Linked DNA regions of Pelodiscus sinensis. The protein of the gene in region 1 interacts with the protein of each later gene in a biochemical or structural test. Links are inferred from orthologs where the notes say so. Each region holds a gene or a part of one and is shown on either strand. Other genes may lie near its edges. The genes, in order: BMP1 and CHRD.

What was found.
Region 2: of the proteins of BMP1 (region 1) and CHRD, one has a biochemical effect on the other in vitro, tested with the Homo sapiens proteins (3 studies listed by BioGRID and IntAct). The link is inferred for Pelodiscus sinensis from reciprocal best matches to the Homo sapiens genes BMP1 and CHRD.

The regions. Positions count from the first base shown.
Region 1 is NC_134738.1:11,541,823-11,547,722, reverse strand, and holds the start of BMP1 (bone morphogenetic protein 1), read left to right. Parts: upstream 1-2,999; 5' UTR 3,000-3,296; coding exon 3,297-3,435; intron 3,436-5,900. UniProt on the Homo sapiens protein: Metalloprotease that plays key roles in regulating the formation of the extracellular matrix (ECM) via processing of various precursor proteins into mature functional enzymes or structural proteins.
Region 2 is NC_134720.1:48,396,184-48,402,083, forward strand, and holds the start of CHRD (chordin), read left to right. Parts: upstream 1-2,627; 5' UTR 2,628-2,939; coding exon 2,940-3,072; intron 3,073-4,929; coding exon 4,930-5,033; intron 5,034-5,900. UniProt on the Homo sapiens protein: Dorsalizing factor. Key developmental protein that dorsalizes early vertebrate embryonic tissues by binding to ventralizing TGF-beta family bone morphogenetic proteins (BMPs) and sequestering them in latent complexes.

The DNA.
Region 1 (5,900 bases):
TGTGGCATGGAGCCAGAGCCTGCTGCAGAAAACCAACTGTCGTGGCACAGGTGGGCTGTGGAGTTTGTACGGCATATCGGAGTGGTCCTTAGAAAGACAGAGGATGGGCTATTCCACCCCATCAAAACATGGGGATGCACATCATGCCCTTTGATTTTAAGGGGTTTGTGTGGGTTTTGTAAGCTCTTTGGGGGCAGAGACCAATGTTCCCTCTAAGCTTTTCCATCTGTGCGTGGAATAAATTTTATGTGCACTGATGTATGTGCAAGCGTGCACCACCTGTACAAACAAGAAACCCATCTGGGAGTGCACTGGACTCTCTCCTGAGCAGCCGCACAAGCAGGGACCATCCCTTTGTTCCATTTGCACAGCGCTGAGCACCACGGGGGGCCTAGATCCGGAGGCTCCTGGGCACTATTGTGATACGAATGAGCAACAATTCAGCCTTGCACGAGCACGGCCATTGACAGACAATAGTGAGCCTGGAGCGCTACCTAGTGGCGACACCTTGGGCGGATCCCACTGCTGGCCAGTGGCCAACCTTGGCCAACCCATGGCCTTGCAGCCATCCCTCATGTGGCTGAGCTAGCCCCACCAGTGCTGCCTGAGTTCACGGCTGGAGCCAGACCTCCCAGGAGCCACTGCAAGTCTTGGCTCTGAGCTGGGCTTGGCATGGGACGGGAGACACTGTGTTCTGTCCCGCGGAGGGGAGGGCAGAAGCGAGTGTAGAGACTAAAGGAAGACAGGGAACAAGTCAGCATCGTTATGAGGGGGAGAGGCATCCCTCTCCCACCCACTGCTCTATGGGCAGGCGATCAGCGTTCCCTGTCAGCTGGGGGTGCCTGTACGCCCGCTCAGGAGAGATTCAAACGCCACCCAGCTCCTGAGCAGAGTGCCCACGTGTAGGCTGGTTGTTCCTGGTGGTGGTGCACATTCCCACATGCCGTGGTGCACATGCAAAGTTTATGCCGCACATGGATGGAAAACATTAGCGGGAACATTGGCGGTGAGCGTTTGGTGCAGGCAGAGGTCTAGTCCCAAGAGGAGCATGTGGCAGGAACCCCACTGCCTGAGTCTCCTCTGCCATCTCTGCCCCCTGTGCTCTGTAAGGAGAGGCACCCAGGGCCACCAATGACTGCAGAGGCAGACACTGTGCACGCACAAACAGGACACGGGAACGCTCCGTATCCTCCCACACACCTTGACAAGTGAGCACAGCCCCCACCCAGCTGCTCCCAGCCAACACCTGCCCCCATGTACCATAGCAAGGGCGTGGCACCCAGGGCTGCTGGGAAGAGGCTGCCACGTGTGGCCTACCCCCACTCACATGACCACGGGAAAGGTTCCCAAAGTGCCTGCAGAGCCACTAACCGTTTCTGGGGCTGTGAGAGACAGGGCCCTGCTTGCCAGCCCCAGCCTGCAGCCAAGGGAGGCCCTAGGGCAGGAAGGGGAGGGGCTGGTGGCAGCAGGAGATGTGCTGCCGGGGGCCATAACTGCCCTTGAGGGGGAAATAACTTACAAGCACAAACTCGCTGCAGATTGGTGCCACCTGCAAAGAGCCAACCCCCAGCCAAGTCGGGGGCAGGGAGCTCGGCTCTCCCCTTCCTTGGGCCGCCTGTTTGCAAGCAGCCTGCTCAGTGGCTAAGAAGCGCACAGGCTGGGTGGGCTCCTGACCAAACGGGGTCTCGGGGTCCTTGTGCAAGCCAGGCAGCAGCCGCCCACCACGGGCCAGGCCTGAAGTGACACGACGTGACCTGTAGGTGTCAGCCACAGACCTAGTAGCTGGGGCTCTTTGCACAGTTCCACGTGGGAAGGCCGCTGAGGGCTCCCTGCTGGGGCGGGTGCCAGGGCCTGGCTCCATCCTTCCACCGATCAGCTCCCAGCATGGCCCTTTTGCACAGCTGAGGTGCCCGCCCCATGGCTGCGCTCCTCACTCGGGGGTCGCTTCCCGGCCCTCAGCCTGGCTGAACTGGGGGGCTCAGCAGCAGGCAGAGTCTGGCCTGGTGCATCAGTCCGGTGTGCAGACACCTGTTGCACAGATACAGGGCTCGTGCTGGGATGTGCAGGTGGGTTCCTGGGGGGCAGGTAACACCCTGCTGCAGTCCCACTGGACAGCATCCGCAGACAGGTCCAGGAGCGAGTAGGCTGCTGAGCGCACTGGGGGGCCCAGCGCATGCATACGGGATGCGGACCCCCGTCTCTGCCCTGGAATGAGACAGGGCCTCCCTCTGCAGGCTGCCAGGCCAGCACATCCCACCCGCATGAATTCACGGTGGAGAAGGGCTGCTAGAAAACGAGAGGCGGGGTAAGCGTTGCACAAGGGCTCCGCCCCCAGCCGCTCCTGGCCCCAGGTTCACCCCGGCCCCCTCAGACTCTCATGAACTCACTGGTCCAAGGCCAGGGCCTGGGGTGAGACAGGTTCAGCCCCTCCCATGGGACTTGGGAGGGAGGCGAGATTCCGGACGGCAGGGGGACATCACTGGGGCACAGCCCCACCCCGGGCGGTTCCTCTGACACTAGGGACAGCGAGGTTCCCTACCCCAGCACGGGGGGCCGGAGCCCTTAACACCTGTGCAAAGCCAGGGAGACTCCAGCCCCCCGGGACTGGCCTCTCTCTCCACCAGCAGCCTAGCACATGCAGCCAGAGGCCGGGAGCCCTGGGGTGCTCACATCCTGGGGGTGGCTGGCCCTAGGCCTGTCTGGGGGTGCACGCTCACCCAGGAGGCTGGTCCCTCCCCAGTGGCCTTCCCAAGCCGGAGCGGGTTGGGGTCTATGGCATCCCATGGACCAGCGGGGGGGGGGGGGAGGGTAAAGATCTTCCCCTCCCCCATTGCACAGAGCAAGGGCCACGAGGGAGGGGGCAGGATTTCCGAGTTGCCCTGGGGCAGCTGGGAGCCCCGCCCGCCGGGGCTGCCCCTTTCTCCCGGCTTCGCTGCAGGGAGCCCCGGGTTTGCAGCCCCCCCCCCCCCCCCCGCAGGAACCTGCCCCCGCCACGGGGCGCTGCGGGCAGGCAGCAGGGAGCCCGGCGGGGGCTGCCCGCCCCAGGGGGGCCGCGGCGCTGCTAAGCCGCCCCGGCAGCCGCGTCTCCCCCACCCCGCTGGCCCGGTGCCCAGCAGGGCTGCGTGCTGCCGGCTGGAGGGGCCGAGCTCCCGGCCTGAACCCGCCCCCGCCAGCTCCCATTTCCCTAAAAAAAAAAGAGGGGGGGGGGGAGCCCTCCGGTCTCCTGCCACTGCTCCGCGGCCCCCGCCTGCCCGCGCCGCTTCGCCCTGCGCTCCCGGGCTCGCCCGCCCGCCAGCATGTCCGGTCTCCGGGCGGGCTGGCTGCTGCTCTCCTTCGCCGTGCTGGGGCCGGCCCTGGACTTCCCCGACTACCCCGAGGGGCTGGAGGAGGAGGAGGACGCGGAGCCCATCGACTACAAGGATCCGTGCAAAGCGGGTAGGGCCGCGGGGCGCTGGCAGCCGCCGGCCGGGAGCCGCTGCAGGGCAGGGGCCGGGGGAGCCCGGGTCAGGCTGCCGGGCCGGCGGGGCAGACAAAAGGGAGGCGCCGTGTGTGGCCGGGGTTGTGGGCCCCCCCCTTTGTGTTGCAAGAAACTTTTCCAGCCCCCCCCCAGGAGGGTTGCCCCCCCCTCCGCCCGGAGTTGTGGGTTTCTGGGGGGGGGGGGTTGTCTACCTGGGGGGGGGTTGGGGGGGGGCGTACCGCCTGCGAGGGAGACGGGGAAGGAAGTTGCCACGAGATTACGGGGGGGGGGGGGTCCATCCCTCTGTTTAGACTTCGGACGTGGAAGGGCGGACGGGGCTCGAACGGGCTCGGCTCGCCCCCAGCCGGAGCTGTCAAAGCAGCAGGCGAACACTTCCCGCCCCAATGGAGCCCGTGTAACCCCCCCGCGGCCCCGGCACGACAGACCCAGCGGTCTCACTCCGGGGTGAAGGGGAGGGCTTCTGCTCCAGAGCTCAGCGGGGCAGGATCGGGCCATAAGCGAGAGGAGAATCGGGGCCTAAAGAGTTTGCAAAAGTTTTGTTGTTTTTCCTCCCTCCCCGCAGCTGAATACACCGCTGCAAGCAACAGTGGGAATTTTTTTTTGTGGGGGGGTGGGTAAGATTTACAAAGAGGGATTTGGGGTGTGCATCTCCGTTAGTGATTATTGCACGTTATGTGATCAGCGCCTTGGGGAGACACTTGGGTGTCCGTGGGCAAGTCACATCACTGCTCTGTGCCTCAGTTTCCCCATATGTGAAATGGGGACACTTTTGCAAAGAGCTGATGCTGAGAAAAGGGCCGGAAAAGTAAATGGATTAATCAGTCCAGCAGGATGCGTTGCTAATGGCCAGCGTGGGAGTTTAAAATCTAAAGGTGCAAGGGAACCCGCACAAGTGCTGGGGGCCCGGCTGGGCCGCTGAGATTGCAGGAGTGGGACCTGGACTTGTGTTTGTGCCACCAGGATGGTACAAAGCATCTTCTGATTGTATCCGAGTGATGCTTGTTATCCTCCGTGAGCAAGCCGTTCCAGGGGCTGGTATTAAAACTAGCAGCATCTACCGCCTCCCCTCCCCCCGGAAATCAAGGCTCTGTTGTGCCAGGTGCTGTATTTCATGAGAGACACTCTCTGCCCCTAAAGAGCCTGCAATCAAGACAAGAGTGCTGGGAGGGGAAACTGAGGCCCAGAGAGCGGCCGTGAGTTGCCCAAAGTGACACAGCAGATCAGGTCTTGGGAGAGCCTAATCTTGTGCTTTGGATCTTTGTGCCTTGTCCATCTAAATCTGCTCTCTTCAGCCTCCACTTCTTCACCTTGCGTTTCTGTGGGAGGGGGAAGGGACTTTAATTGTGGATTAATTTAGTGGTGGTCAGGATGGACAAAGGGAGGTTCCCGGGGAGTTCCCTGGGACTGTGCTTGCTGGTCCATTGTGTGTCTGAGACACGCGGAGTGGCACACTGGAGCCCTGCCCCCCACCTTGATTGGATCCATATGTGGCTCATTCAAATGTATGGCGGCCGTGATAGGAGTCCCCAGTCTGGATCGGGGTCCGTTGGATAGGCACGAGCACCGGCCGTGTCCTGAAGATCCTCATCGCCTGATGAGCTTTGGGCGTAACTCGGGATCAGGGCAGGGCTGTCGCTTCTTACCGGACGGGGAAACCGTTCCTACGTGGAGTTGTTCTGCTAAGACTGGCCTGGCCAACTACATCTCCCACAAAGCTCTGGGGAAAGGGGGGGGGGAAGAGAGAGAGAGAGAGAGAGAGAGAGTGTGTGTGTGCGTGCGTGTGTGTGTGTGTGTGTGTGTGTGTGTGTGTGTTTTCAAGGCACCAGCTGCAATAAGTTTTCTAGGACTTTAAGAGCAGCCGGAAACAGCTGACTCCTTGGCACAGTGGATTTATTCCGTGGCTCCCTTAAGTTCCACATGGAGGAGGGGCAGAGGGAATAGCCAAGAACGGGGCTTGGGTTTCACTGCACAGCTCAATGCCCTGGGTATCCCGCGGCCACCTACCCACCAGGGGTAACTCCCTGCTGCTCCCACCTTCCCCCTTGCCCTCTCTCCCCCTCCGCCCGACCCAGGGCGGTGCTGGCCCAGACCCGGCTGTCGTGCCAAGAGGCGTTTTCCTGAGCAACGCATCCAGGCTTGTGGTCCTGCCCGCGCTGTTATTCGAGTGCCCACATCACAGTGGTGCCCACTCCCTAGATGAAAGCAATGGGCGGTTCTCCTCGTCCTGCAGCCGTCTCCTCCCCCGCTGTCAAAATAAACCTCCCCAGCTCTGAACCAAGGCCGCCGCGGTGGCTACCGCCTTAGCAGTTCAGACTCCCCAGCGCCGAGGGGCCCCTGGGTAGATTGCAGGGCCGATGGCTGCCTCCAAGTCCGTGTGTGCTGTGAGTTCTGCCTGCAGCGTGGGGATCCTGGCAAACACCCC
Region 2 (5,900 bases), on another chromosome or scaffold:
GGGGCAAAGGTTAGAGGCAGAGGGTGGGGGCATCCAGGCAGTGCAGTGGGGGGCAGGAGATCCGGGCAGCACAATGAGGGGCAGGGGGTACTGACTGGGATGGGGGGGGTCTGGGCAGTGCAGTGAGAGGGCAGGAGATTCAGGCAACACAATAGGGTGGGGGATACAGGCAGAGGATTACAGGGATTTCAGGCACTACGGTGGGGTGTGGAGGATACAGGTGGGATACGGGGGCCTGGGCAGTCTGGTGCGGGGAAGGGGTTTCAGGCTGTACAGTGGGTGCAGGTGGATACAGGCAGGGATGCAGGGATTTCAGGCGCCCTGGTGGGCGCAGGGGGATACAGGTGGTGGGGTGAGAGGGTTTCAGGCAGCACAGTGGGGTTCAGAAGATACAGGTGGGGGCTGCAGGGGTCCAGGCAACAGGGTGGGGTCCAGTAGTGCACTGAGGGACGGGGGATATAGGCAAGAGGGTGTGGGGGGTTCAGGCAGCACAGTGGGTGCAGAGGGGTTACAGGCGATCGGTGCGGGGGTCTGGGCAGCATGGTGGGTGCGAGGGGATACAGATGGGGGTACAGGGGTTTCAGGCAACATGGTGGATGCAGAGGATACAGGCAAGAGGGGTACAGGGGTTTCAGGCAGCACTGTGGATGCGGGGGGTACAGGCAACAGGGTGCAGGAGTTTCAGGTGGTGTGGTGTGTGCGGAGTGGTTACAGGCAGGAGGGTTCAGGGATTTAAGGCAGCAGGGTGGGTGGACGGGTACAGGCGGGAAGGTGCCAGGGTTTCAGGTAGCATGGTTGGTGCAGGGGGGGTAGAGGCAGGGGGGTGCAGGGGTTTCAGGCAGCACAGTGGGTGCAGGGGGTACAGGCAGGGGCACGTGGGGGTTTCAGGCAGCGTGGTGGGTGTGGAGGGGTTATAGGCGGGAGGTGCGGGGCTCCGGGCACCACAGTAGGATACAGGCAGGAGGGTGCAGGGGTTTCAGGCAGCACGGTGGGTGCAGGGGGTACAGGCAGGAGGGTGCAGGGGTTTCAGGCAGCACAGGAGGTGCAGAGGGTACAGGCAGGAGGGTGCAGGGGTACAGGCAGCACAGCGGGTGCAGAGGGTACAGGCAGGAGGGTGCAGGGGGTACAGGCAGGAGGGCAGGTGCAGGGGGTACAGGCAAGAGGGTGCAGGGGGTACAGGCAGCAGAGCGGGTGCAGGGGGTACAGGCAGGAGGGTGCAGGGATTTCAGGCAGCACAGTGACCGCAGGGGTTTCAGGCAGCACAGGAGGTGCAGAGGGTACAGGCAGGAGGGTGCAGGGGTACAGGCAGCACAGCGGGTGCAGAGGGTACAGGCAGGAGGGTGCAGGGGGTACAGGCAGGAGGGCAGGTGCAGGGGGTACAGGCAGGAGGGTGCAGGGGGTACAGGCAGGAGGGCAGGTGCAGGGGGTACAGGCAAGAGGGTGCAGGGGGTACAGGCAGCACAGTGGGTGCAGGGGGTACAGGCAGGAGGGTGCAGGGGTTTCAGGCAGCACGGCGGGTGCAGGGGTTTCAGGCAGCACAGTGGGTGCAGGGGGTACAGGCAGGGGTTGCAGGGGTTTCAGGCAGCACAGTGGGTGCAGGGGGTACAGGCAGGGGGTGCAGGGGTTTCAGGCAGCACAGTGGGAGCAGGGGGTACAGGCAGGGGGGTGCAGGGGTTTCAGGCAGCACAGTGGGTGCAGGGGGTACAGGCAGGGGGTGCAGGGGTTTCAGGCAGCACAGTGGGTGCAGGGGGTACAGGCAGGAGGGTGCAGGGGTTTCAGGAAGCATGGTAGGTGCAGGGGGGTACAAGCAGGAGGGTGCAGGGGGTACAGGCAGCACAGTAGGTGCAGGGGGTACAGGCAGGGGCTGCAGGAGGTTCAGGCAGCACAGTAGGTGCAAGGGGTACAGGCAGGGGGGTGCAGGGGTTTCAGGCAGCACAGCGGGTGCAGGGGGTACAAGCAGGGGGGTGCAGGGGTTTCAGGCAGCACAGTGGGTGCAGGGGGTACAGGCAGGAGGGTGCAGGGGTTTCAGGCAGCATGGTAGGTGCAGGGGGTACAGGCAGGAAGGTGCAGGGGATACAGGCAGGGGGGGTGCAGGGGTTTCAGGCAGCACAGCGGGTACACAGGGTACAGGCAGGGGGTGCAGAGGTTTCAGGCAGTACAGTAGGTGCATGGGGTACAGGCAGGGGGTGCAGAGGTTTCAGGCAGCACAGCGGGTACACAGGGTACAGGCAGGGGGTGCAGAGGTTTCAGGCAGCACAGGGGGTGCAGGGGGTACAAGCAGGAGGGTGCAGGGGGTACAGGCAGCACAGTGGGTGCAGGGGGTTCAAGCAGGAGGGTGCAGGGGTTTCAGGCAGCACAGGGGGTGCAGGGGGTTCAAGCAGAGGCATGCGGGGGTTTTAGGCAGCGAGGTGGGTGCGGAGGGGTTCTAGCGGGAGGTGCGGGGCTCGGGCAGCACAGAGGGGGCCGGCAGCGCAGCAGGAGGTGCGGGGGCCCGGGCTTCCCTGCCGCGGACAGGGCGGGGGCCCCTCCGTCTGTTCTCCGGGGCTGTCAGTCGGGGCAGAGGCAGCTCCGCGGAGCGGGGCGTGCGCGGGGCCGGGCTGTCCCGTCCCGCTCCCCCCGTCGGGCTCCCCGCCCGCTGCCATTGGGCGGATCGGCCGGGCGGGCTGCGCGCACCGCGGGCCCAATCCACAAGCCCCCCGCGGCCCCGCGTCTGCTTCCCATTGGGCTCCGGGCCGCGGGCGCTGGGACCCCCGCTGGGGGCCCTAATCCCCCGGCCGGCGGCTGCCTGCGCCTCGTTAGCGGGGCCTTTGTTTGCTCAGGATGCCCCCGCTCCGCGCGGCCCGTGCCGGAGCCTATAAAACCTGCCGGGGGCCGGGGCCGGGGCACTGGGAGCCCTGACTCGCCCCGCGCCGCCCGCGGGGTCCCAGCCGTGCGCGCCCATGGCCCGCCTGCCGCTGCTGCTGGCCGCGCTGTCCCTCGCCCTCCGCCCCGCGCCGGCCGCCGCCTCCCGCCCCAAGCCGCTGCTGCCCATCCAGCCCGAGAAGGACCCGCTCCCCTCCAAGGGGGCGGCAGGTAGGGGCCCGGGGCGCGGGGATGGGGCGGCAGGTGGGAGCCCCCCGGGCGGCGCGGGGCAGCGGCTGGTCGGGGGGGCGGGGGCGGCCGGGGGCCAGGCTGGGGCGAGCGGGGCCCGCGGAGCGACTCCTGCTGCCCTCCCTGGCCCAGCTGCGCTCCAGCCTCCATCTGCTTCGCCTGCATCCACTGACACCCCCGTGCGCTCGGCTTGGACGCGTGACAGCGGCGGGGAGGGGCCGGGCCGGGCAGCGTGTCACCAGCGCGGCAGCTCACAGCCCTGCCCGCTGGCCCAGCCCCGCGCCAGCCCTGCCAGGCGCGTGCCAGGGCTGGGGCAGGGGGGCAGAGCCCTGCCCCGTGCCAGAGGCAGCAGGCGGGTGCCAGGGCCTGCGCGAGGGGCCAGAGGCAGCCGGCAAGCCCCCATGGCATGGACATGGGCTGTGTGAGGTGTCCTGGGTGCAGCGGGCGGGCAGAGATGGCCCAGGGTGAGTGGGCCCAGGCCAGCCCCTGGCTGCCACAGGAGAGCAGAAGAGGGGGATTGGCTGGATGTGAGGGGGGAGTCCGTCTGGGTGCAGCAGGGTGGCACAAGGCCGGGTGCTGGGCCGCAAAGTCACATGTGGGTGCAGCAGGGTGGCACAGGACGGTGCGGCAGGGAGAACATAAGAACGGCCGTACTGGGTCAGACCAAAGGGCCATCTAGCCCAGTATCCTGTCTGCCGACAGTGGCCACCACCAGGTACCCCAGAGAGGATGGACGGAAGACAATGATCAAGCGATTTGTCTCCTGCCATCCCTCTCCAGCCTCTGACAAACAGAGGCCAAGGACACCATTTTATCCCCTGGCTAATAGCCTTTTATAGGCATCACTGAAACCTGGTGGAATGAGAGTGGCACAGGCTGGGCTCTGGGTGCGGCAGGGTGGCACAGGCTGGGTGCTGGGTACGGCAGGGTGGCACGGCTGGGCGCTGGGTGCAGCAGGGTGGCACAGCTGGGCGCTGGGTGGCATGGCTGGGCACTGGGTGCGGCAGGGTGGCACGGCTGGGGGCTGGGTGGCACAGGCTGGGCTCTGGGTACGACGGGGTGGCACAGGCTGGGCGCTGGGTGTGGCAGGGTGGCACAGGCTGGGCACTGGGTGCGGCAGGGTGGCACAGGCTGGGTGCTGGATACGGCAGGGTGGCATGGCTGGTCACTGGGTGCAGCAGGGTGGCACAGAATGGGTGCGGCAGGGTGGCACAGGCTGGACGCTGGGTGCGGCAGGGTGGCACGGCTGGGCGCTGGGTGCGGCAGAGTGGCACGGCTGGGCGCTGGGTGCGGCAGGGTGGCACAGGCTGGACGCTGGGTGCGGCAGGGTGGCACGGCTGGACGCTGGGTGCGGCAGGGTGGCCCGGCTGGGTGCTGGGTGTGGCTGGGTGGCACAGGCTGGATGCTGGGTGTGGCTGGGTGGCACAGGCTGGGCGCTGGGTGTGGCTGGGTGGCACAGGCTGGACGCTGGGTGTGGCAGGGTGGCACGGCTGGGCGCTGGGTGCGGCAGGGTGGCACAGGCTGGACGCTGGGTGCGGCAGGGTGGCCCGGCTGGGCGCTGGGTGCGGCAGGGTGGCACGGCTGGACGCTGGGTGCGGCAGGGTGGCACAGGCTGGGTGCTGGGTGCGGCAGGGTGGCACGGCTGGACGCTGGGTGTGGCAGGGTGGCACGGCTGGGCGCTGGGTGTGGCAGGGTGGCACGGCTGGGCGCTGGGTGCAGCAGGGTGGCACGGCGCTGGGTGCGGCAGGGTGGCACGGCTGGGCGCTGGGTGTAGCAGGGTGTCACAGCTGGGCGCTGGGTTGCCGGCTGTGCGCTCAGGAGTTTGTTCCCCATCTCCAGGCTGCTCGTTCGGAGGCAGGTTCTATGCCCTGGAAGACACCTGGCACCCGGATCTGGGCGAGCCCTTTGGGGTGATGCACTGTGTGGTCTGCTACTGTGAGCCGGTAAGTGGGGGCCCTCCTGCCCCTAGAGCACCTCTGAGGCTGCCCACTCGGTTGCTGCACTTCACAGTGGGCAGTGGGCACTGTGTTTGGCTCCCCCGGGCATTCAGGGGGCAGTACAGAGCCCTGGGGAGGGAAGGGGGCAGTACAGAGCCCTGTGGGGGGGGAAGGGGGCAGTACAGAGCCCTGTGGGGGGGGGAGGGGGCAGTACAGAGCCCTGTGGGGGGGGCAGTACGGAGCCCTGTGGGGGGGGGCAGTACAGAGCCCTGCGGGGGGGAAGGGGGCAGTACAGAGCCCTGTGGGGGGGGCAGTACAGAGCCCTGCGGGGGGGAAGGGGGCAGTACAGAGCCCTGTGGGGGAGGGGGCAGTACAGAGCCCTGTGGGGGGGGGCAGTACGGAGCCCTGTGGGGGGGGAAGGGGGCAGTACAGAGCCCTGTGGGGGAGGGGGCAGTACAGAGCCCTGTGGGGGGGGAAGGGGGCAGTACAGAGCCCTGTGGGGGGGGCAGTACGGAGCCCTGCGGGGGGGGGAAGGGGGCAGTACAGAGCCCTGCGGGGGGGGGAAGGGGGCAGTACAGAGCCCTGTGGGGGAGGGGGCAGTACAGAGCCCTGTGGGGGGGGAAGGGGGCAGTACAGAGCCCTGTGGGGGGGAAGGGGGCAGTACAGAGCCCTGCGGGGGGGGAAGGGGGCAGTACAGAGCCCTGCGGGGGGGGAAGGGGGCAGTACAGAGCCCTGTGGGGGAGGGGGCAGTACAGAGCCCTGTGGGGGGGGCAGTACAGAGCCCTGCGGGGGGGAAGGGGGCAGTACAGAGCCCTGCGGGGGGGGAAGGGGGCAGTACAGAGCCCTGCGGGGGGGGGAAGGGGGCAGTACAGA